3 linked regions of the Arabidopsis thaliana genome follow. The protein of the gene in region 3 interacts with the protein of the main gene of each other region in a pairwise test. Each region holds a gene or a part of one and is shown on either strand. Other genes may lie near its edges.

What was found. The genes of interacting proteins can lie anywhere in the genome.
Region 1: the proteins of AT3G14760 (region 3) and AT3G54360 interact in a protein complementation assay, tested with the Arabidopsis thaliana proteins (one large-scale study listed by BioGRID).
Region 2: the proteins of AT3G14760 (region 3) and AT3G08930 interact in a protein complementation assay, tested with the Arabidopsis thaliana proteins (one large-scale study listed by BioGRID).

The regions. Positions count from the first base shown.
Region 1 is NC_003074.8:20,126,500-20,135,568, forward strand, and holds AT3G54360 (zinc ion binding protein), read right to left. Parts: upstream 5,415-9,069; 5' UTR 5,263-5,414; intron 5,103-5,262; 5' UTR 5,083-5,102; coding exon 4,694-5,082; intron 4,607-4,693; coding exon 4,372-4,606; intron 4,253-4,371; coding exon 4,107-4,252; intron 3,473-4,106; coding exon 3,385-3,472; intron 3,304-3,384; coding exon 3,157-3,303; intron 2,385-3,156; coding exon 2,235-2,384; intron 2,134-2,234; coding exon 2,071-2,133; 3' UTR 2,055-2,070; exon of another isoform or gene 1,794-2,054; 3' UTR 1,628-1,793; downstream 1-1,627. Other genes in the region: AT3G54363 (uncharacterized protein), read right to left, coding at 5,740-6,036; SAC3C (SAC3/GANP/Nin1/mts3/eIF-3 p25 family), read right to left, coding at 7,486-7,650, 7,751-7,843, 8,149-8,245, 8,359-8,444, 8,536-8,754. UniProt on the Arabidopsis thaliana protein: Has holdase chaperone activity that may fold catalase to a functional structure. Not required for the peroxisome import of catalases. Required for the activity of catalases and acts mainly at the post-transcriptional level.
Region 2 is NC_003074.8:2,709,681-2,718,993, reverse strand, and holds AT3G08930 (LMBR1-like membrane protein), read right to left. Parts: upstream 5,683-9,313; 5' UTR 5,433-5,682; coding exon 5,083-5,432; intron 4,981-5,082; coding exon 4,895-4,980; intron 4,603-4,894; coding exon 4,487-4,602; intron 4,376-4,486; coding exon 4,265-4,375; intron 4,047-4,264; coding exon 3,948-4,046; intron 3,856-3,947; coding exon 3,733-3,855; intron 3,471-3,732; coding exon 3,408-3,470; intron 3,329-3,407; coding exon 3,264-3,328; intron 3,107-3,263; coding exon 2,997-3,106; intron 2,907-2,996; coding exon 2,792-2,906; intron 2,695-2,791; coding exon 2,629-2,694; intron 2,323-2,628; coding exon 2,212-2,322; intron 2,136-2,211; coding exon 2,069-2,135; intron 1,984-2,068; coding exon 1,936-1,983; 3' UTR 1,628-1,935; downstream 1-1,627. Other genes in the region: LHCB4.2 (light harvesting complex photosystem II), read right to left, coding at 329-691, 777-1,277; AT3G08920 (Rhodanese/Cell cycle control phosphatase superfamily protein), read right to left, coding at 5,877-6,081, 6,281-6,720; AT3G08910 (DNAJ heat shock family protein), read left to right, coding at 7,183-7,347, 7,521-7,885, 8,151-8,592; RGP3 (reversibly glycosylated polypeptide 3), read left to right, coding at 9,280-9,313.
Region 3 is NC_003074.8:4,952,691-4,958,839, forward strand, and holds AT3G14760 (uncharacterized protein), read left to right. Parts: upstream 1-3,658; 5' UTR 3,659-3,749; coding exon 3,750-4,208; intron 4,209-4,307; coding exon 4,308-4,355; 3' UTR 4,356-4,616; downstream 4,617-6,149. Other genes in the region: AT3G14740 (RING/FYVE/PHD zinc finger superfamily protein), read right to left, coding at 1-616; AT3G14750 (structural maintenance of chromosomes domain protein), read right to left, coding at 1,075-1,200, 1,573-1,658, 1,816-1,979, 2,064-2,683; SWEET2 (Nodulin MtN3 family protein), read right to left, coding at 5,097-5,213, 5,307-5,426, 5,510-5,668, 5,755-5,971, 6,059-6,095.

The DNA of each region.
Region 1 (9,069 bases), about 15 Mb from region 3:
TTATTGAAATTAGACAAAGATCGAAAAAAAAATAGTTAATTAAGAAAGTGACGAACCACGATTCGCAGTTGATTTAGTCAGCCATTACAGGATACAAGTAGAATTTCATTGCTTTGGTTATGTACTGTAGGTAAAAAATCAATACTCTCGTTAAATTCTCAAGCTCCAAAGAAGACGCACATACAATTTTTTCGAAATTCTCACAAGTTGATATCACAATTTATAGATAGAGAATTTAGAAAACTCAAGACGAAAGTAACTAACTTGAGGGAAGAAGAGGAGGAGGAGGAGGCGGCAATTCACTGGCTCGAATTGAAGAGATAAAATCTAAAAAATCTGAAACCCTAATTTATATCTGACTGTCTCCGTCGTCCGGAGGCGAGAGTGTGTAAAGAAGAAGATAAAGCACGTTTGAGAATGGAACGACACCGTTTTGGATATATGTGATTTTTTTACTTTGCTCTTCTTTTAACTCCTTTTTCTGAAACTAAACTTCAAATGCTTATTTCCCGGAAAAACAGCCTCTTTCAACACATTTCGTTTGTTGTTGTAATTTATACTCTTTTAGATGATAGATATTAGTTCATATTTTTTAAATGTACTTCTAAACTAATATTAGTAGGATTAATAAAATTTGAACTTTAAATATTTTTTATATATTTTATAAATCCTCAGATAATCAATAATCATTTCTCGACTTTCATCTTTTTCTCAAATTCTCGACAATGGTTTCTTTATCCTCAAAAATCTGATCTGTCGTCGTACTATTCTTGTTCAGTTCAACTCAATCTATGCCGGAAAAGTGCACTTATCGCTTTACGCCAGAAATTTCATATTGGAAGAAAACGCTGATCTTCAACGTAAAATCGGCGAAGCTGGCGGCTACTTGGCGATGCCTCCAGATTTCAACTATAAACCGCGAAGAGAGGTATATAGTTGACTTAATTTCAATGGATTTTAGGTTACTCGTGTGAAATCTTTGAAGAACTAATTAAGATGGATAAGAGGCGAGAGTTGATAGTAATCTTTGACTTTAATTTCCGTATCTTTTAAGAATTGATTAGGTTTTTAGGTTTTTTAGGCTTGGTTACTCAAGATTTTGCATGATTGCTTGAATCACGATTGATTAGAGGCAAGAATTTTTGTGAATTGATAAAATCAGTACATTGTTTCATAGCAGTTGATGTGAAGTACATTTTTTGGCGGAAAAAATCATTTTTTCATTTTGTTGATTTAAGTATTTTCAAATAGAAGCAAAATAGTCATTAATAATTAAAAGATAATATCAATAAAAATGATTACATGGGAGGATAGTACTAAAAAAACATATTTTTGGAAAAACATTCTTAACAATTTCTCTATATCTAATACGTAAAAACATAGTTTTACATACGAAGTTAAAGATTTAGTTACGTAATTATATGAACAGTTAAAAGACGTGAACATATTAAAGAAAAAAATACTGAAAAAAGCTTTACAAATAGAACGAAGTTGACCTAATTTTGTTGATTATGTAGATTTATTTTCGTAAAAGTGACCTAATTTTGTTGATTCGTGCGTTGGAGTTAGTATATCTTTGTCGTTTGCATAGTATCATCGGCTTTAGGGATTGACTATGTTTATGTTTTTATTTTTGTAAGAGTAGTTACAAGAAAAACTTCATTCAACAAAACAACAAAGACAAATTTTTGTTGTCGCAATTTATACTCTTTGTAGCTGATTGAGTTTGCAAATACTTGCATTTTCCTTTCACATCATCTCTCAATCTCTGTTGGGTTCTTTCTCATTTTGCACTGAAAAGAAATAGAAAGCAGTTCACAGCTGTAGCCGCTTAAGATATCTTAATTTTTAAATTTCACAAGTGCATAGAGTACAATCATGCTTAACAATTTAACATTGCAAGATTAGTGCATTGAAAGTTGAAAACCATCACAATTCACAACATACAGACAACTCTGTTTCTTTGTCCCTTGAGCGCAAATACAACATTTTTGCTTTCTTTATTCAGCAAAATGCCACAGACGAGAACTTAGGTATAATTTCTATATACGTACTTAAGCCTGCATCGGTTTAGAGTGCAGTTTCAGCATCGGTTTCTACTTGCTTCTTAAGGAACTCCAGTACAGAGAGCCGCTGCATGCATGTTAAAATTACATTTGTCAGATAAAGTTTTACTGACATTCAGCAGCTTTGGATAAGATACAAATAAAAAGGGAGTCGTGCAAGAATCTTACCCGTTGCTCGAGAGCAGAATCTTCAGAGTCCAGTTTCAAAGATTCCAGCAGTCTCATGCCTTCCTTGAACCCATCTGTCGCTGCAACTTCATTTTGTAGAGTCCTGTCTATATCCGCAACTTTGGCTAAGGAAACAGCCACATCCAGAATCTACATAAAAAATGTAGAAATAACAAAAGAAATCAATTTCTACTTCCGGACAGACCTTTGCTTACTATATTTGAGTTCCAATTTCTCTAGGCAAGAAATCAAGTATAAAATAAGAAAACAAAGAGAAGATTTCCAACCAACAGAATAACCCAATTACAATGCACGTAAATCTAATTATATGTATCCAAAAGAGAGTAACTTTATCGCAGAGAATTAAATGACACCTCATCCAAGTATGTATACTGCAACGACAACACGTCAGTTACCTAAACCTCAGTTCAACCCAGGCAACAAAATAGCAATTGACTTGAATAAAATCTAGGAAACTATTTAGAGAATTTCTCTGAACATTCATGGTAAAGTAACAAATAAGTAAAATGAAAAGAGTGAACCAAGAAACCCGCTTGAACACATTGAGAACAAGTATACTATTTTCACTTTACATCGTATTTCAGATCCTTTGATCCACTAGCACCTTAAGTTAATCTCTATATCTTTTAATGCATTTGAATTCATTTTGCCTGGACCCAAATGAACACCAAGATGTAACAATCACATAAATAAACGCTTTCTGCCTAGAGAGTGAGAGATTACGATCTACAAAAGAGCCTTCACGAATGCTACAATAAGTCAATAACTTAGCTAACAACAGATATTTTTCTGCGAGACCTTGAAATGTATATGGCGACTAAGAGTAGCCAGTTCAGCTAACCAAACATTGGGACAAAACAAAGAAGAGCAAAAACAGAAAACTGTATGAGGGCACACTTACTTGTGAAGGAGCATTTGGGTGGTGCTTCATTGCATCACGTCTGACATTTAAAGCTCTATCATAATACGACCTTGCAGCTTGTAGATCTTCGTCATAATATTTTAGATCTCCTATTTTATTGAGTGAGACAGAAAGTGTATGTGTAATCTGCAAGTTAAGTTAAAATTGTAAGCAAAAAGGTAAAAAGTTTTCAACATCAAAATTTAACAAGAACCAATGTGCTATAACCTCCAAATCATTCAACGGCAGTTTCATAAGGAATTCAACACTCTCTTCAAAATGCTTGACTGCAGAGCTTGAGTCTCCCATCGCTCGGCTGCAACAACAACAAAAAATAATTTAACCATCAAACTTAAGTCCCGGAAAAAGAAAAAATTCAACACACCAAACAGAAGATCAAACATTTTGGCCAAAATAACACAGTTCAGGAGGAGAAAATGATTATGTATAAAGTAGGTTTTTCGAACCAAGCATGTACTGTTGCTTCTCCTTTCCATTTATTCTGAACGAGGTGATTGAACCACAGAGAAAGATGTATGCAAATGATAAGAGGATACAGAAAAATCTGAATATATGAATATATTTCCAGTCAATTGATGTAGACAGGGTCCATCTAGAAAACCAGAATCTAGTTCAAACGAGAAAGAAATTATTTTAGTATTTCCCAAAGTGCCATGCGCACTCTAAGCAAGATGAAAGCAACAACCAGTCGACTTGAGAAACTATCAATTGAGGAAACTGCCAAGGAAGGGCCACATACTTGAGAAACTCCAAATTAAAAAAAATCAATTTGAACAACAAAGTGGCTCAAGCGGGATCATAAAAGACCACATTGGTGACCACATTCGAAAGCACCGTTGTTTTCATAATCTTAATTGTTCACAGAAACTCGAGAATGGATACATCTTAGAAATAAACAACTTGGGATAAAAAAGAAGACAATATCATACCTACAGTCACCAAGCATGCCAAGGACTGCACCAAGCTGTGAACACAACTCTGGTGTATTGCCCTCCCTCCCTAGTTGATCCCGAATGTCCTCGGTACACATTGCCAACCTTGATTTAGCACTTTCATAATTTTGGGCACTAAATGCCTGCGCATACAAGTTGAATTAGAACAAGATCTCACAGCGGGACATCATAACAAATGTAAGTGGTGCAAAAGAGAATAATCCCATCGGTTAGGTCAACAAAATTTAGAGACAGAACTCACCCTCATAGCTTGTTGCACCAAGAAAGAACCTCTTTCCATGGAAACGTCAGCGTAAATCACTTTTTTGTTATCATTTTCGACCTCTTCTTTTTCTGTTCCATTGACGACAGATCTCTTAATTCTAGCATGGCCTTCAATAAATTGATCAACCATCTTCTGAAGGTTTTCATCAACTTCAATACTTTCAATGTCAGCACCGCATAGAGGGCAGTCCTTAAACCGTGTTAAGCATACTCTGCATTCAAGAAACCACAAAGTATAAGAAAAGTAGACCCAATCATGAGCCAAAAAAGAAATAAGCGGCCGAGCAACTATGGCTTACTTGCAGAACACATGTGTGCAAGGCACACATCTACTGCTCTCATATAGAAGTGCTTGACATAACATACAGCTAAAAGGCCCAAGCTTGAATGTTTGAGAGTCATAGCCAAAAGGGCACTTGGCAGGTACCGTTGCAGAATCAGTAGAGTCCTTATTCAAGTTTCCTTCTTGTTCAGGACATCCTTTACTCCCATTTTCGTCAGGACGAGCAGATTTAGAAAAAGGGCAACCAGAAGCCGTCGTTTCCCCTTGCTTTCGAGCAGAGGCATCGTCGGGACGAGCAGCTTTAGAAAAAGGACAACCAGAAGCGGTAATTTCGCCTTGTTTTCGAGTCGACCCATCGTCAGGACGAGCAGCTTTCGAGAACGGGCAAACAGAAGTCGTCGTCATTCGTGAAGGTAGCAACAACCCTACAACACCTCAAAAGGAAAATTCAAAACCTAAATTACTAAAATTGCTTCCTCAAGATGAAATTCGAAATTGATTCTCTAGCTAAACTATCAACAGCTGGAAATCGAACATAGAAGAAGCTAATTCAGAAGTAGCTCAACAGAGAGAGATGGAAAAAACCTGAATTGGATTGGATTGAGATTAGATTTGGAAATGTCTCTTTCGCTGCTTCTCTGCAATCAATCAATGATCGATTGATAGCTCTCTCTCTTCTTTTTTCTGTTTCCGATAAGTTTTTTTTTTTTTTTTTTTGTGCGTTGGAATTGGATGGTGTTTTGTTTTCTCTCAGTCAAACGAAAAATAGATATTACTAAATGGGCCTGCGGTTTTTGTAGCCTATTTAAGAATTTGGGTCACTAGTCAATTTAAGAAAACCGTTGTTCTGGATTATAAACTGGTTGGATTTTTAATATTAATCAGCTTTTTTTTTTTTTTCACTGAAGGTTTAGTTTTATTAAAATCCACATCACAATGGTTACAACCCATTAATGGCCCAAATGGCTACATCACTTAAAGATAAAATTTTGCTCAATACACGTGTCAAACACAAAGATACGTAGATGAAACGTGTTGCAAGAAAAGCTTGGAAACTTTCCGTCATCCTTCGCCGTTAATTACTCCGACTATTGTAAACACAATCGACGCCGGAAAAAGTTTAAGCATCGTTTTTTGTTGTTGCTTGTCACCGGAGAATGTTGAAACAGCTACAGGCAATCTTAATATGCTGGAAACAAGTCTTCTTTCATTACATTGAACATAATTACCGATGAAGATTTGTTGTAACCAAAGATCTGAAGAACCAGTTTGAGAACATCCAAGAGAAAAAGCAGCAAATCCACCCGATCTGGTCGGATTAGATATCCGCATAACCTCACTGGAAACCACCGGAAACATAAAACAAAACAAAACTCAAGGAGCTAGTTGGAGACCACCGTTGAACGAGAAATTGTTAGGTTGGCACCACCAAACATAGATCAGAGAGATTTTTAAAAGATAAACTAAAGAGGACTAAAAGAAATCGGCATAAAACCGATTCACGGCAGCGATTCACGGCAGATGAAAATACCAAGCCAGCCAAAACCGCTAATGGGAGCCGGATTTACTGGACGAAAGCCGACCATCGCCGCATACTAAGCCGGTGGATGTCGGGCTGAAGCCAATTGAACCAATTGGACGGCCTTATCGGAAAATTGTAACAGACGGTTTTTGATACTACTAATATTAATCAGCTAACATAAGTAAACAATTTTTAATATTCAAAAAAAAAAAAAAAAAAAAAAAAAATATATCCTCTTCCTTCTCTCTTAAAAACAAAAGCACCGCTTCAATTCCGCCGGCGTTGTGAGCCACCACGGTCATGACGTCGGTTTGGCTTTTTGGTTTATGTTCAGTTATGTCTCTTTAAGTTGTGGTTAAGGAGATTTCTGGGTTGGTTTCGATTTCGTTTCCTCCTCAATTTCTCTTATTAGATCTATAGTTTCGATTGGTGATTTTGCAAATTAGCGTGGTTTTCTTCTCTGACTAAATACTCCCTGGCCTAATCACGATCGCTCTATGCCACTCACTGTCGGTGTTGTGGTGATTCGGGTTGGGTGACCTAATTTTGGGTTTCCTCACACAGCTTCAACAATACGGATCTAGGGCGAAATCCGCCCAGATTTTGGGTTCTTTCTACCGGTTCAAGTCGCATAGTCGATATCTCCGGCCACGGCGTTCTCGACGGTCTCTGCATGTTTAGCTGAGTTTCCACCGTCTGCCATCCAAAGTATCCCAAGGTTTTTCTTCTGAAGATTTTTAATTATCAAGTAAGGCAAGAAGATCAAATTTTCTTAAAGTGGGTGTCTCAATCTCCGACGAAATCTCCGATGCCAGTTAATTTTCGATCTTGGTTTATTTGGTTAAAGAGAGAACTATGTTTATGTGTAAAATCATCAATCATGTTTTATTTTGTCTTTCTACGTCGTTTCCCCATGTCGGGGCTTAGTGTCGGGGTTTCATTCCTCGCCGGCTTGTGTACCGGAGGATTATATCCTGCCGGCTTTGTCGTCCCGTAATTCACTCGGGTTTATGTATCTGATATGGTTTGTGCTGATAATAAAATTAGCTTTGTGAAAAAAAAAAAAAAGTAAACAATCAATCCTTTAACCGTATCCGGTCGGATATTTTCTAAGAAATGGTTTAGTCACCAAAATGTCATAACCAGTTGAACCCATTCAAGTTCTGTAGTTTACATATATATATGGATACTATCTGATTGATATAAGATTATATAACTTAGGTGTTTTAGAAATTCAATTTCTTCTTATCATAAGAGAGTATGAAGCATTACAACATGCAAGAGGTTCAAATCGACATCTTAATCCGTTCAATTCCAATCAAATCATAAACTTTGAACTTGTCCTCTGGACTACGAAAGGTTGACTGCTTCACGGGTAAAACAGTGAACCCATCAGGATCAGTACATGTCTCAAGACCACACTCATGGCATAAAGATTCAACATCCAACTCCTGAAATATACAAACTTGACTTATGACATTTCAAGTTTACCAACAATACGAAAATAGAAAAAAAAGACAGGGAAATATTTAGTCATAGGGGTATTATCACCTTCATCTTCAGGTTCTGAGATAACCGCAAGAGAGGATAGGGTTGAAGCTTGTAGCAAACATTGTTTATGTATTGGACAGCCACTAATCGCATCTTTTACCATGAAAACATTAAGCAAATGATCAACATAATTGAACAATTTACTGCAAATATCATTCCATGTATAGCCACTTTATACACACCCATATATTTGAACAATTTACTGCAAATATCATTCCATGTAACTATATAATTGCTTTACCATACCGGTAATATTTTCTAGTACAAACTTATTCTATATCATCTTTCTCATGTTTATTTTCATTTCATATTGCATTAGCCGCTACCAATTAAAGTCCCACAAAGACTATCCCTGAGAGCTAGGACATAACTACATATTTATATCCATGCAAGCTCACCTCTCTAATATGATGTTCACTTATGCAATACTGCAAGTATGTCGCCTCAGAAGCTGTTCTACTTAAGAAGTTCTTGTAATTGCCCATCCGATATAATCTGGAAGAAAAAATTAAGAGAAAAGACAGGTATCATTATACTTCAATTCATATTTCCTAAATTTGTTCAAATTAAATAACTCATACGCAAATGATTGAACAGCATAAGACTACCTTAAAAGGTTTCGTACAAAACATATTTCCTTGGATTTTACCAAAGCAAAAGTCAACTTGCGAAACCATAAAGACAGCGGTTCCCCCTGCAGATCATAATCTCAACGATTTCTATCAATGGCAAAAAGAAGGTGACATGATAACAAATTAATAAGGAGAAAGAAACCAGAAAACAACCATCACTCCACTACTAGGATTGAGATGAAGCAGCACATAGAGTGAGCGGAACTCGGCTTCATTTTCGTAGATATAGTCCGGTTTTCTATTTGCATCATATATATTATACAAAGAGGTAAGAGTTTTTGCTAGCTGCTCCATGTTCAAGTGATGCATTGAGCTAATACTTGTACCACTACAACTTTGAAGCCTCTCGTGAGATATGACATGAAATTTTACCTGTTACAGAAGCCATTCGGGAGTCAACAATAATAACATCAACGGAACTCTATAGAAAATAAAACAAACTGATGATTACCAATCAGAAGAGGATGATCAATCAGAGTGGTATATATTTCTATGAAAATTACAAAAGAAGAAAAATGATCCTATTTGAGCATCCTGATTAAGATTACGACTATGTAAACTACAATCAACACATTAAGTCAAAATATCTTAAACTTACAAATATTCTTTTGGTAATAGCAGAGGGTTAAACACACAAACGACTGTCAACAAAACCCAAGGAAAGCAATTCTAAAGACAAAATAGACA
Region 2 (9,313 bases), 2.2 Mb from region 3:
GTAGAAGAAAAACAAAATCTTTTCTTTTTTTTTGGTGAATGGAATTATCCACTTATCGGTGGTCACTTTTTGAGTCAACTTTATGATTCTATGTTTCTTAACGTGAACAATTTCGACAGAATTTAGCAAACGATTAATTTGATGTAAAGGCTCATCATAACTCCGATGATCTACGTAAACACAAACTGCGAGGTATAAGAAATTCCGTTTATACAAAAGGTGCCAAATTTTCTTTAAAATAACGACGTTACATCATTACATGACACCAGTAGAAGCTAAAAGCCACCACATCATTACATGACACCAGTAGAAGCTAAAAGCCACCACATCAGGAGGAAGAGAAGGTATCGATAATGGTGGTGTGAAGTGGGTCACTAAGGTGAGTCGCCCAGTTGTTGAGCGGTCCTTTACCGGTTGCAGCCGCCTGAACCGCAAAACCCAAGAATCCAACCATGGCTAAACGAGCATGTTTGATCTCAGCTAGCTGAAGCTGAGCCTTCTTCACCGGGTCAGACGCTAGTCCTAACGGGTCAAAGAACTTGCCTCCTGGATACAAACGCTTCTCCGAGTCCAGTTCAGCGTTTCGTTGGAACTCAATGTAGCCGATCACTAACACTTCGATCCATATCAATGTCGAGATAGAGAACGGCAATGGCTGTCCTAAGTAAGATGATCCATCCACTAGCTCTACCTGGTAAATTAAAAATAAAACAATCAGACAGATGTCGAAACGCTAAACACAAACGCAAAAGTGACGAAAAGAAAAGAGGCGATACCTTGCCGGCGTCTTGCCAAGTAACACCGGTGAGCCATTCGACGGTGATAGCGCCAAGAGTGGCGAGCATTGCCCACCGACCGTGAATCAGCTCACATTCTCTGAATCTTTGTAGCCCGAAGACTTCACTATATGGCTGAAACGGCGTCGATTTGGGGTCCACCGCCTCGGTACGAGTCCCGATCACTTCTCCGTATAAGTTCTTGGCTAAGTTCTGGTCCAAGGAATCCAAATCGAATTGGAGATACTCCGCCGGTTTGCCTAAACCAAAAGGATCGAACCCGTAGTCCCCGACAAGTGAACCGTCGAGATATTCGGGTGATTTTGCGCCTGGGAACCATAGAGGCCGGTCTGAGATAACCGTCTTAGCCTTTTTGGGAGATGCTTTCTTGGTTCCGAATCCGAACCGGGCTGTGAACCGGCTTGAATTGGAGCTAATGTCGGAAACCACCCGGGTACCCATGATTGAAGAAGCAGCAGCGGCGGTTGAAGTGGCGGCCATCTCCGGCGTCGTTAGTTAGTTCTGTCGCGTTTGCGGTTTGTAACTTATCTGAAGCAAATGGCGTTTTTAAGTGGCGGTATGTGTGTGGGAGAGATCTCAGAGAACGAATCTTGACGGTTAGATGGAGAAACAAATCCATCTGACGGTAGGAAACAAAATCAGCCTTATCTATAAAAAGCTCGCGTTATCTATCCTGTCTGTCTTTTAGAGTTAGATGAGGCAAGCAAGCTGATTGGGCAAAAGAAGCTATTGACGAATCGCATAGCAACGCCACTTGTCACTTCAGCAGCACATGTCCACTTGTATAGTTGTATGCCTTGCATACTAAACAAATTCAAGAATATTGATAATCCGGTTAGGTTCGGTTACAATTGTCTCAAACCACAAAGGAAGTCTCTGTCTTGTAAAAATTCGAAGAAGGCTTCTCATTAAGAAAATATGATTACATGATCGCATCCGAGACAGTACAATAGACCAAGACAGGACAGCTAACTGTTGCGCAACCAAACAGCACACTCACAAGAAATTTAATAATACATTCAGGAAAATAAACCTCAGAAGCAGAGTCTCTAGATACTTCTGGAATCGATGATGATCCAGAAACAAGTAGAAACTTTGTCGACAGCACTCAATCAGATCCCCGTGAAAACGTTTTACATTAAGAAGAGAGCTGGAAACGGCCACTAGTTTTTTTTCTTCTCCATCCCTGCCAAAACACCAAAGACCATATGATTCTACAAATACTTAATACAGAAGAGAAAACCCGAGGAGTAACATCAACGAGGACTTACAAAGGCAATGTAATATAGGAAAGTCAGTCCAGCCAGGATAACAAACCCGATTTGGAACACATTGTACCTGAAATATAAAACCTCAATAAGACGCATCACGGATATAGCATATGACTGCTATATGTTATACCACTTCTACTTACTTGTAAAGGTACTTAATTCCTCTAAGGGACTGCAATGTGTGGCCAAATATCTCCTGGGCAGCAGTGGCTTGAGCGTAATATCCAAATGCAGTGGCACAAAATTGAATCACGCTGCATTTTAAATGAACCACATTACTCAGACTGTGAGGATTAACATGTAATTGTGAGGGTAGCAGCTGTATATTAAAAGTCTTGGTTTGACATCTAATAGAGTACAAAGGATACCCAAGTGCATGAGTAAAGTAACTATAAACTTCGATTCAGGCATTCGCCGGAAAGGAAATTAGTTTTAGTGATGGCATGAAAACACTGATAAGTTAATGTATGCACATAAACATGCTTGATCTAGATCCGTTTATCAGAGTGCACTTGATCCCAACAGATACAAAGGCAGAAGAAGAGACCAGAGAGACTTACCTGATTGAACAAAGAAGAATGAGGCCGACATTGAAGAGGAAAGAGTTCATTAGAGTAGCTCCCCATCTGAAATAAGTTGATATGGCCAATCAGCAATCAAGAGAAGGTAATGAATGACCTTGGAAAATAGCCAAATAATGTTGAAACCGGTTAGATGGATTACTTCATTGGATGAATGGTAATGAAGACCAGCTTCAAACCCAGCATCATTGCCCCAGCGATAACAGCAAGTAGAAGGTAGAAACAGAAGAAAGCAAAGGCAGCAGTGCCTAAAAGACCTGGAGATTTCCACACGTACCAGCATGGAGTCAGTTAGAAACAAAGAAGAAACCTTATACAGGATAACAAGGACAAAAGTATGAACTTACCCCAAACATCATCAAGCTTAATGAAAACCTCGTTAAGAAAAGGGGAGAGAGGAGGGTCGACGAGTAGATATATGATGATGTGTGCAACCCAAGCAATGGAAACGATCAATCTACAAAGACATTAAAAATTTGCCATTTAAAAAGACGCTTAGCTCGGGAGCTTAAGAGTGCAAACCTAAATATGCAAGAACTGTATGCATTATGCATGATTTATACAACATGTAACAAAAAAAAATGCAAAGGAGGTTTCTGCTTAGATGTACTAACCCTACGATTCCAAGAATAAACTTGGCCAAGTATCCGAGCACAGTGAAAGCCCATGCAGTTTCTGCCTGGAAAAAGGTACCAGGGAATAAAATAGTTGAACAAGAAAAATATTATAGTATAAGTTCTAAGATACACTCGTCTTACCTGCTCTCCTTGAGGATACATCTCTTCTAAGAGGTTCACATCTTCCTCCAATTGGAGCAACTCCTGCAGGGTTACCACATTCAATTATAGGATTGAGGGGACACAGCTTAAATCCACAACCAAGCAAAGAAAAGCTACCAATAAAGTCAATAACCAATTCTACTATCTCACTAGCTTTTCACTACAAGTTGTCATTCTCATAACTCCACAGACGACCAAAGCCTCTTTACACACAAGGGACCAGTATGAATAGGCAAACTTTCCAAGTTGCTACTTATGAAACAAAATTTAGATAAGATACTGAACCTTGAGATATATGAGGTACCTTTTCAACTGCTTTCACATTTTTCCGCCATTTCCTGCCCTTAGCACCACTTCTTTCTTCCTGATGAAGTCCATCAGCTGCTTTCTTTAGTTCTCTTGCCTTTTTACCTAGTTCGGTTGCCTCCTGTAATATATTTATGGAGTTAATCATGCAAGAGACAGAGGGATTGACTCAAGATCTAGAGAGATGCTTCCAGAGGAGAACAATAACCAGACCTTTATATATTGTGATCGAGTGATAACAGCCTTTGGTCGCCTGATGAATGCAGTGATAAGTCCTAATGGTAGACATGCAATACCAACACCACCAAATATCTAGAAATATTTGAGAGAACAATTAGTTATCAGATTTTTTTTACTGAAATGTATAAATCAAACATCTATTTACTTCAATGGATACAGAATTATATCTTGCCATGCATCTCATCTGTTGAGAGTTTGTGTTAGTCAATGAAGAATCAACAATATAAGACAGATTAAATCCTTTCAAAGCAAACAATGCACTTCTCAACATGAAAGAACAATGGTCATACCGTGAAAAGAACTGACCCAACAATTGTCGCAAGAGCAACAACATATTCTGGAAAAGTAGTACGCATAGTCCATGTTTTCTCAGATGTGGGATTAGCTGTAAATGCTGAGCACTGCATTGATAGCCAGAGACAGGAATATGTTAAATGCTGAAACTCTCTACGGCATAAATGACTCATGATATAAAAACTAATGCTAATGCTACATTCAAGAGGCAAACATACCTGGCGAGCAGTGTTACCTATGCATGGTTGAGTATTTGAAAACTGCCAGGAAGTAGGGAAAGTGGATGTGGCAGAAGCCAAATGCCTGACCGAGAAGTCCACCTTTCCAATGACACCTACATGATGAAGATGTTACCAATAATGTTAAGGTATTCCTAGCATATAAATGGATAAGATAGATATCTCAACCCAAGCCCTGATTGGGTAATTTAAAAGCCAAAATTAACATAAGAATGCAGTCAAATCATAGAGACCAACATCAGATTCATCCTTGCCACATGCTCACTAATGGATTCAATAACCACTCCAGCTAAACAAGTATAACCTCCAGACTATCGTCATTCGTCAATACAGAAAGACGCTGAATTTCAAGTCGACAAAAGAATTGAAAACAGAGGAACAACTAACCATATAAAATTCCAAGCACCAGAGCACAAACAACAGCCGTGGTAACTACCCAAATTAAGGCACTTTTTATCCTCTTTCCAAGAGTCCTGTGAAAAAACGAAAGAAAAAAAGCCCACAAATTGTCATCAGTATTCGATTAACTCAAAACTTACAACATAGAGATACTAAAATTTCATCAAGCTACGAACTTGTCCTGGTCGCCTTCATAGAAAAACATTGCGAAGGGGATGACAAAGAACACGAGAATAGCGTCCACGATATAAATAGCAAGCCAAAGATCCTTCATGGGCAAGGTGAGATTGCAAGCTCCATTGTATATAGCATGTCGACAAGCATGCCGATTGGCCACATCAGCCGGTAACATGAGAATCGAGATCATAGCAATAGAAAGGCCAAAAACAACGACGAATTTGGGGAAATAAGCCTGGTTTGCATCATCTGGATGCTGATAGTTGACGAGAAGATAGATGCTAGAGATGAATACGATGACGCAAACAACGATCGCGACAATCACGAGAGCGAGGTTGAAATCGCCCATCGTGTGCAATGTACAACGTCCCCAATTCGAGAGATTTCGATCCCGGAACGATTTGGAAGATGTAGCACCCAATTGCAAAGGCTAGGGTTTTCTAGGAGTTCAAATTTTGAAAATTGAATTTGGGGATTTTAGTAGATCTGGATTTCTTTCTTTTTTTCCCTCTCGAAAACCAGACGAGGGAAGAAGAAAGAGGACTGGGAGAGGATGAACATTCTTGTAAATTACGAAGCTACCCTCAACAATGTGCTCTCGTGCCTAATGGCTTTGGGTGTAAACGTAAATTGTTACTAGGTTTGGAGATTAGCTGTCCGAAGCAAATGATTCGGACAAAATATTTCAACTAATGAAAGACATCTGTAAGTAATAAACCAGTGACCAATTGTGTAAACCGGACACAATTTTAAAAACAAAAAATGTCTTCACACTTGGCTCCAAAAAACCAATTTAACGACTCTTCTGGCCAAAAGACGGTAACAGTACAAGTAGTTTGAGTAAATAAAATGATACACCTCCTATCGTGGCGAACCGAAGCTCTTCGGTCCCTTCGATCTCTGGAAAATCTCCCTCGGATACTCGGTTAAACCCTCCGGTTAACCACCCTAAGCTTTTGTACCCTTCTCCGTGGAGCTTTGATACAGCCGCCAACGACCTGAGAATGAGATTGAAAAGCAACACCATTTATAACAACCAAACCGAACCAAAGAGTTCAGTTTAATTTATACTATCCAAACCAAAAGATTCTATGATCAAATCGATTGATTAATAGTTTATTTAGTTTGATAAGTTTCTCTAAAATCTGGACTAAAACTGGCAATGATTAACCAAAATGCAACATATAAAGCTGGTACCTGAGTCCTTCACCGCACACGACGAGCACTTTACTCTCTTTGTCCGGGACAGCCTCCACAACACGGAGGGCGAATTCGTCATTGATCATGGTGAATCTCTGGCCCGTCCAAAGCCCAATATATCCCAAATGAATCCATTTCTTCAGCAACGTGATCGGCCCATTGTCTGGATCTTCCACGAACAGTGGCACGTGTAAGGAACCTTTCACGCGTGCCTTTTCTCTTTCCCAAGCCGGCCTCACGTCTAACAGTATATATCCCTCCGACGCCACAACCGCATTGGCTTCTTTGGGCTCCACCGCCCGTACCTTGCCGGAAAGTATCAGCTCTTTACCGGAAACGGCGGAGATCACTGGTAATCTGTATGATTGTCGGAGGCGTCGGTTTAGTACTACTGGTAGCTTGTGGATATGGTTTAGCTGAGGAAGAAGAACTGTCATCTTTAATTCTTTTGGATTTTCAGAGGAATTTAACCAATGATATTGTTCTTCAGATTTTTCATTTTAAGAACACCCCAAAACTTCTTACTTATTTCCATTTTAGGCCCTCAGATATTTCATAATTTGACTATCACCCTCGCTTAAAGTAAAGTAACAAACATATACTAGTGGGGTCAAATGTTAAATAATAAATATATAGGGCTACTAAGTGTAAATTTCCTCTCTTTGAAACGACACCGTGATTCTTAATTCTGATAAGGTTTGACTTTTGAGCTAGGTTTGCCGAACCAAAAACAGAACCGGTAAAGACCAAATAAAAGAACCGGTCGGGTATTTCTTGTATCTCGATAAATATTTCGAACCGGTACGGAATGATCCGCTAGAGTTTTTCCCATTGAAGAAGATCGAGTGAAATTCGAAGAGCGAATCAAAGAGGAAGAAGAAGAAGGAGGAGGTATAGCAATGGGGGTCGATTATTACAAGGTTCTTCAGGTGGATCGGAATGCGAAAGACGACGACTTGAAGAAAGCTTATCGCAAACTCGCCATGAAGTGGCATCCAGACAAGAACCCTAACAACAAAAAAGACGCCGAAGCCAAATTCAAGCAGATCTCCGAAGCTTACGATGTAAATTAACAAAATGCGTTTTCTCTTTTCAGAGAGATTCCCATCTTTTGCTTGAATTTGAGCAATTGTGTAGTTTGTCAATTCACTATGGTTACTTCTCTGGCAATTAAGTAATCTTGATTTGCTTGTAGAATTGTGTTTGATAGATTCCTTATGCTGTTGGATTTTGTAAGGTTTTGAGTGATCCTCAAAAGAGAGCCATCTATGATCAATATGGAGAAGAAGGTCTAACAAGCCAGGCTCCGCCTCCCGGAGCAGGCGGCGGGTTTTCGGATGGAGGGGCTTCGTTCCGGTTCAACGGTAGAAGCGCAGATGATATCTTCTCGGAGTTCTTTGGCTTCACAAGACCATTTGGTGACTCACGTGGTGCAGGTCCCTCTAATGGGTTCCGGTTCGCGGAAGACGTTTTCTCGTCAAATGTTGTTCCACCGAGGAAAGCTGCCCCTATTGAGAGACAACTTCCTTGTAGTTTGGAAGATCTCTACAAAGGAGTCAGTAAGAAGATGAAGATCTCTCGGGACGTCCTCGATTCAAGCGGGTCAGTTTTTTTTCAGCTACATTGTCATGAATTGAGTTTAAGAATCACCTTCTTATGGATTTAGTTCCAAAACATTGATTTGCTTAGGAATTTTTACCTTAAGGAGCTTTGGAGCTGGATAAATACATGAAAGATGTAGTGCTAGAAATTAGTCATTAGCCATTGGATAGATTATGTTGGACTCATTAGAGTTGTTTTTTTTGTAGCTATGATGTTGTTGTTATCGGTAATGCAAGTTGAAAGTGTATTCTTTGTTGCAATGCAGGAGACCCACAACAGTTGAGGAGATCTTGACGATAGAAATCAAGCCAGGGTGGAAGAAAGGGACGAAGATTACCTTCCCGGAGAAAGGAAACGAGCAGCGAGGAATCATACCATCAGATCTTGTATTCATAGTTGATGAGAAGCCACATGCGGTGTTCAAGCGAGACGGGAATGACCTTGTGATGACACAGAAGATCCCTCTTGTGGAAGCCCTCACGGGATACACTGCTCAGGTCTCGACTCTGGATGGAAGATCAGTAACGGTTCCAATTAACAACGTGATCAGCCCTTCTTATGAAGAGGTGGTGAAAGGTGAAGGCATGCCAATCCCTAAAGACCCATCAAAGAAAGGGAACTTGAGAATCAAGTTCACTGTTAAGTTCCCATCGAGGCTAACAACAGAGCAGAAATCTGGAATCAAACGAATGTTTTCGTCTTCCTAGTCTGTCTCTTTCTATCTTACTGCTACGTTTGATTTTCGGTTATGACTAGGTATGTGGTAGTGTGGGTCTTTGTTTGGGAGATTGTGAGGTTCTTGAACGATGTCGCATTGAGATTTCTCAACGTCCTTCAGAGCTTTTGGTTTGGGTTTGGGGTTTTACATTTTAGCATTTTTTTTTTTTTCGTTCTTTTAAATTTGTTATTAGATTGGGGGAAAAATAAAAAACTAAATAAAGATTCTTTGCTTCTTTAGTTTGTTTAGAGCTTTCAAATTTTCTAAATACATACAAGGAAAAAAATGTATGTGGCACTATGCCACTATGGCACCAGCTCCTGCATTCTTTTCTATTTCAGTTCAACTAAAACAATTCCTAAAATTATTTTGATAAAAAAAACATATTAATAAAACTTTTCATGTTTTGTTCTAACAAATCTTCTACAAACAGACGACGGTCACGTGATTTGGGTTTAGAGAGGTAGAGCGGGTGAGAGTCGTGAATTTGGGTTGTGTTGAAAACATGAAAAGAAGAAACATGTTTTGGCATGAATATACCTTTTTTCTTCCGTTAAGAGTGAAAATGATTATCTCAATCTCATCTCTATAAATACCAAGAAGTCATCCTTGTTATCGTACATCTCTCTTTGTCTTTGCTTAATCATAAACTACTCTTTCTTCCTTGTCGTTTCAAATGGCGCAATTGTATTCTTCCGTGAAACCCACGC
Region 3 (6,149 bases):
GGTTCTTCGACGATAAACACTGTCTACAAAACCAATCACCTTCTGGAATAGCCTTAACAAGAGGATTCCCATAGCAAGAAGCATGAACCATCAAATCACAACCATCACAGAACACAATTGGATTCAATGGATCACCATCTGTACTTTGACATACAGCACACATAATCCCATCTTCATCTTCTACTTCTCTATCAGAGAGATCTAAAGCTTTTCCTTTCCCTAGAGGATCTATATTCTCTTTATCATCATCTTCTTCTACCTCTAGACTAGATTCAACATTTAGAGTTGACTTTTTCTCAATTGATTTCTCTTCAACATAAGGCTTATACTCTACATTTAGATCAAAAGGCGAAAAGGGGTTACCACCACCGGAGAGAAGATCGGGATCAATCGCCCAGATCCTTTTCTTCGCCGGAAGACAATGATAGGTGGGATTGGAGTTCTCTGCGTCGTCATCGTCATAATCAACACGAGTCTGCTTCCTCTTCTTTGCCGGCAACTGCAACGACTTCATCTCCGGTTGGTTCGGTAGCTGGTGCTGTTGAGCAGCTTCGAGATCTCTCTGCAACAGTCTTAATCTTTTGAGAGGAGGTAGATCTTGATATTGAGCATCCATGGCTTCTTAGTTTCAGATCTCTGGGTTTGTGTGAATGGAACAGTCGTAGATCTCGGAGAAATTAAAGGCATGAGAAATTGATATTTACCCGCCAATTGACTTCTTTGTGCGCCAAATTTCTGAAATTTGTTCCGATTTTAAAATTTCGTTAATTTTCTTCTTCTTCTGTTTTTGGTTCATCAACTGAAACTAAAATTTTAGAATTTTACCCGCCAATTGTTAAAAAGAGCGAGGGAGGTGGTCTCTTATGGGCCTTTATTCGGTCCATTGAAGATGTTAATGGGCTTATTTAAATTAAAAAAACTGTGGTTTCCAAGTTTCTTACTTAACAACACTTTAATATGTTGGCTTTGTTCACAATCTATCAGAGACTATCAGAGTATACAAAAGGGAGGCTGCTTTAATTTCATGAGAGTCGCTTGAAAAATGGGCGACTTTGACTTTGAATCTTGACTTTTTCATCGATGTCCTTGTCCTTGTGGTGGCGGCTGCTGCTGCTGTTGCTGTTGCGGATCGTAGCCACCAGCCCACGCAGCCTGTGGTCCGTAAGGAGGAGGATAATAGCCAACAACGCCTGTTTGTGCCTGAACCAGCATTGTTATCATATCAGCACATTACTTTACATGTGTATGAATGTATGCACCTAAAACTACAAGAATAGGAGATATATGAAGATAGATGTTGTTCAGTTACATATTCTGTCACAGGTTTCATCGACATCAGCTCACATTGTTGACTTAGATTGGTCTAATAAATCGATTAAGCCAGTTCCGTTTTACATCAGATTGACTTGTTCGAACTTTAGGCTGTACTATTGGCTACTGAAATTCGGTTTAAATTCAAAGTTCAAACAAAGTGTGAAACTGTGTAGAGAGAATTATGGTGCGTTCAGACATATCATCTACTATGCACACGCAATGTAAAAAAATATAAAAAGTCAAAATTTTATAACTTACTGGATTCATGGTATAGTTGGGTTGATAAGGATTCACAGGATACCCAGCCTCAGGATTTCCATATCCACCACCATAAGCAACTCCACCTGATCAAAACCATGTTTTTTGATTAACATTGCTATATGCATTCAACTGTTGATCGACTGTCTATTGCTAGTTATTAGTTTTCCTTTCTACTTGTGCATTTAATAGGCATTGTGGTGACTGCTTATAAAGGTTTACACTTATTCAAGTTTATCATACCAGGATTCCCAACAGGACCATTAGCATAAGCACTCGTTTCTGAGTTAGCAATCTCTGCTCGAAGCTTCTCCAGTTCCCGAGCCATTGCAACTAATTTATGCTCCATAATTTTGCCATGCTCGTAGTTTTCCGCGTACCCTTTCTTCTCATAATCAATAGCCGCTCTACAAAACAGAAATCACAGCTTAACATACACATTATCATCAATATGAACAAAGGCAAATCTTAAAAAAGAGACTGGTCAAAACCTTGCGCGTTGCAGCTCTTGCTTTGTGTTCTCAATTTCTGCAGTTAACGTTGGTATCTGCTGCAAATCTGCTGTAAGTCTAGCTAAATCTTGAGTCATCAGGTGAACCTGACTCGTTAGTTCCTGTCTACCTGAAGTAAACTCTTTGATATCCGCACGGATCTTTTGAATCTCAGCTCGCATAGCATCGACTTCACGCAATTCCATTTCGGATCGCATAGATTTATCATACATCTCCCTCATCATAATCTCTTCCTCAGCTCTCAAGGAATCAATGTAATGCATTATTCTTTGCAATTCATGCTGAGCAACTTCTAACTCCTGTTTAAGCGCAACATGAGTCGCAGCCAGTCTCTGGTTATCAGCGAGTAAGCCCTGAACATCTTGATTCTGAGCAGCGAGACGATCCTCCAGAATCGAAAATTGTGGAGGAAGACCTCTTGCATCTACTCTAAATTGAGGTTCTCTACTATCATCAATCATAGAAGGATGAGGAGGAGGAGGCACTGGTCCTCCTCCTAAGCCTCTAACGAAAGGCGGTTGATGAACCGGAGCTTGTAAACCACTGTAAGATCCACCTTTCATTGATGGAGGAGGAGGTCCACGATTTCTTCCAGACATTATCTTAATGTTCAATACTACGCAGAATCAAATTCTAGTTTCACTTCCTGGAAAATTCGAGTGCCAACAGAGGAAACGAAAAGGTGTACAAACTCAGAATCACGAACTGACCTTCGACGACGAACAACAGAAGTTTTCACAACCGGAGAAAACAAATTAGGGTTCTTAAGATGACGCCTAGTTCACTAAATCGGAGATCGATCAACTAAAAACTTATTATAAGAACGTTCGCACAACTGTAGAAAGAATCTCCGATTTGCTCAAGGAGATCAAAACCCTTCCAATTCGCCGGAAAAGTAGATAAAGCGGAGGTTTCGTTTACTAATAGTAATATTTTAAATTACTCCTTTTAGTAATTTGTATTTACACATTATATCTCCATGATACTACCTGAGTTTCAATTTGCACCAAAATGTTTTGGATGTTTCAATTTGATCCTTCATCTTTAATTTGTGGTACCACAAGGTCCACTAGGTCCACCCAACAAGAACATGAATAGACATTGTATGGCTCGTGATCTCATCAAAACCTTCTGTCCCTACAAGCTATATAGATTCCATACTACAAATCATGCAAGTAACCTCAAATCTTAAAAAAAAATTAATCAAAATTTGACTACCTACCTGATTACAATTTGATCATTCATTTCTTTGCTAATCTTGAACCAAAATTTTGACTACCTTCCTGATTAACTCTCAACTTAAAAACAATACGGAAGGTTACACAACTTTCCAAAACCTTACAATCATACAAAACGTTACAATCATACGACTAATAACAAATGTTACATTTAATTTTTTTTCGTATGCACAATAAATTTATATAGTTTGCGTTACGAAGACTACAACGGATATATTTAATACCCCACTTATATCTATACCCAACACAATGAATCAACAAGGTGAGATGAAAGATTTTATTGATGGGTATATAGAAACTATAGGTTATAAATACCATAATGATGAATAAATCTATAACGGTGGAATTCACATGAAGCTCACCAATTTCACCTATATACTTAGCTCTCAAGATAGACTACTAAAAAAGACCCCAAATTTAGCAAAAAATGGAAGCCTTGTGGAAGTTGGAGGAGAAACTGAAGCTAACTACGAAAGAAGCCGTTGTGATCTTGGTCGGAACAGCGGCTGCGGTAACGCTACTCTGCATAGCCGCAGCGTTTCTCAACCGCAATTCTCGAGGGAAGCAAGTAGCAGACGCAGAGTGGGCGTCTGAAACAGCGTTTGGGTCAAGGACTATGGAGGAAAAGAGGAAATGTAAGTGGAGCAAAGTGAAAAGAACGTTGATGGGTTCTTTTTGTTGGAGCTCTGCTGCGAAGTGGATGGAGATGGAAACAAGGCGGCAGCCACCATTGCTTGCGGTTAAAGAAAGGAGTCTTAATGCGGTTGATCCGGTTTGGCAGCGACCAATTCTGATGGGTGAGAAATGTGAATTGCCTCGGTTTAGCGGCCTTATATTGTATGATGAATGTGGCCATCCGCGTCATCATCCTCAGCTTCAAGAAAAAGTGAGTGTTAATTTACTCCTGACCTAAATTTAACAACAAAAGTGTTTTTTGGTTTTGGTCAGAGATGGATATAAGTTCTTGTCATTGCTGTTTTTGTAGGTAAAACAGAGTTCTGTGGTAAGAACAACTCTGAGAGATTTGCTTTGACAGTGATTTTCTCTAGAAGGAAGTCTCTTGAAGTTTCGTGTACTACAAGTTATAAACCACAATGAAATTAAAGGTCAGATTCTGAGAGCGCTAAAAAAATGTGTATGTATCAATGTCTTAAGTGATGTAGATGCAAATTTTCTTTCCTTTGTTTTTTTTGTGTGTGTTATTGATTGCTTAGAGGTACAAAGGAAAAGCACAATCTTATGAACAGACAATTTGCTCCAACTTAGATGGTTTTTGTGTGTGTGTCTTTTTGATTGCTTGGAGGGACAGAGAAAGTGGAAATCTTATGAACAGACAAAATAGAATAATCCTTAACAAACGTCTTCAAATCAACCCACCAGAGATTTCCATATCAAAGAAAAAAAATCTTATGAACAAAAAAATAGAGTAATCTTCAAAAAAAACAAACAATATATGGACAAACGTTATCGACCCACCATGAGATTTCCACCACACAAAAACAAAACCCACGTACACCAGTGAATCTGTCATGTGTCTTCACATAATCTTCAGCAATTGAGCCATCAAAACTGAAAAAGACTTCCATCCTTCGATCATGACAGAAGCAGAGAGAATAAACATCTTCACGCCATGAGAGAATGAAAGCCGGTAGATAGTCACAATGAGCTACACAGAGTAGACAACAATAACAACAACAACAAAGAATCTTGATGTCACCACATTTTCTGGTTTCTTTTAATTTCCCCACTATAAATTTGCTTCTTTGCGCGAACCTCACACGTAAGAAACAATCAAAGGCTCTTTTGTTTCTTCTTCTATAGAATTCCTGTGGTAGTAACAGTACAAAGCCAGCTGCACAATGCCAAGAATCGTTCCTATTCCATTTGGTGTCTGAGTGGCCAAAAAAACAACAAGTTTTGTAATTAGTACTATCTAATGAAAGAAAACAGAGATTCCAATAGGAAATATTGTTGAGTAACTTACATAAACAAAGGCATCGCTGTTGAATAACCCGTAAAGAAGGAAGGAAGCACTCATCAAGAAAGTCGATAGCGAGAGATAAAACGGCATAAACTCAACGCTCTTAGTCCGAATCACTAGGTTCTGCAAAGACCAAACAAGTCAGGCAATCAAGAAAGCTACATATATATTTTGAAAAGATTTGTTGACATTTTTTGGGAACTTACAATAACAAACAACGGCGAGGCAAACATTGAAACAAGAGAACCGCAGCTCAAGAACCCGACAAAGTACCACCGTGTGAGCTGGTCAGGTATCTGCAAACTTCCAGCTACAATCACTCCAACCACAGCAAACACCACAAAAAGCAAACCAAGCATCTTCATCTGCCATGATCAAAATGTTGATTTAGAGTTAGAAAAAAAAACAATAATTTGTTTGTGTGAGTAAGAAGTAGAAACAATCCAAAAACCTTGTTCTTCTTGTCTGTATGCATGATGAAGAGGATAATGTAGCAAAGCTGAAACGTAGCTCCAACGGAATTCACAGTCATAAGCATGGCATTGCTGTGTGATATGAAAGGTGTGCCATACCAAAGGCAGATCAAGCAGTTTAAGAGAGCGTAAATGTATGGTAAACCGGAGAATTGCTCCGTCGATTTGTTCCTCATGATCCTCCTAAACGTTGGCCTGAAAGAAGAAAAAACAGTCAAGTCCATAGACAAAGAAAAACTCTGTTTAATACATACAACGAATAAGTGAATAAGAAGAACTCACATTGGTGAAACGAAGAGTCCAAATGCAAATATGTTGCCTGAACACAGAAGAACAAATGAAACAGTGATATTAACAAATGGAAAAAAGTTTC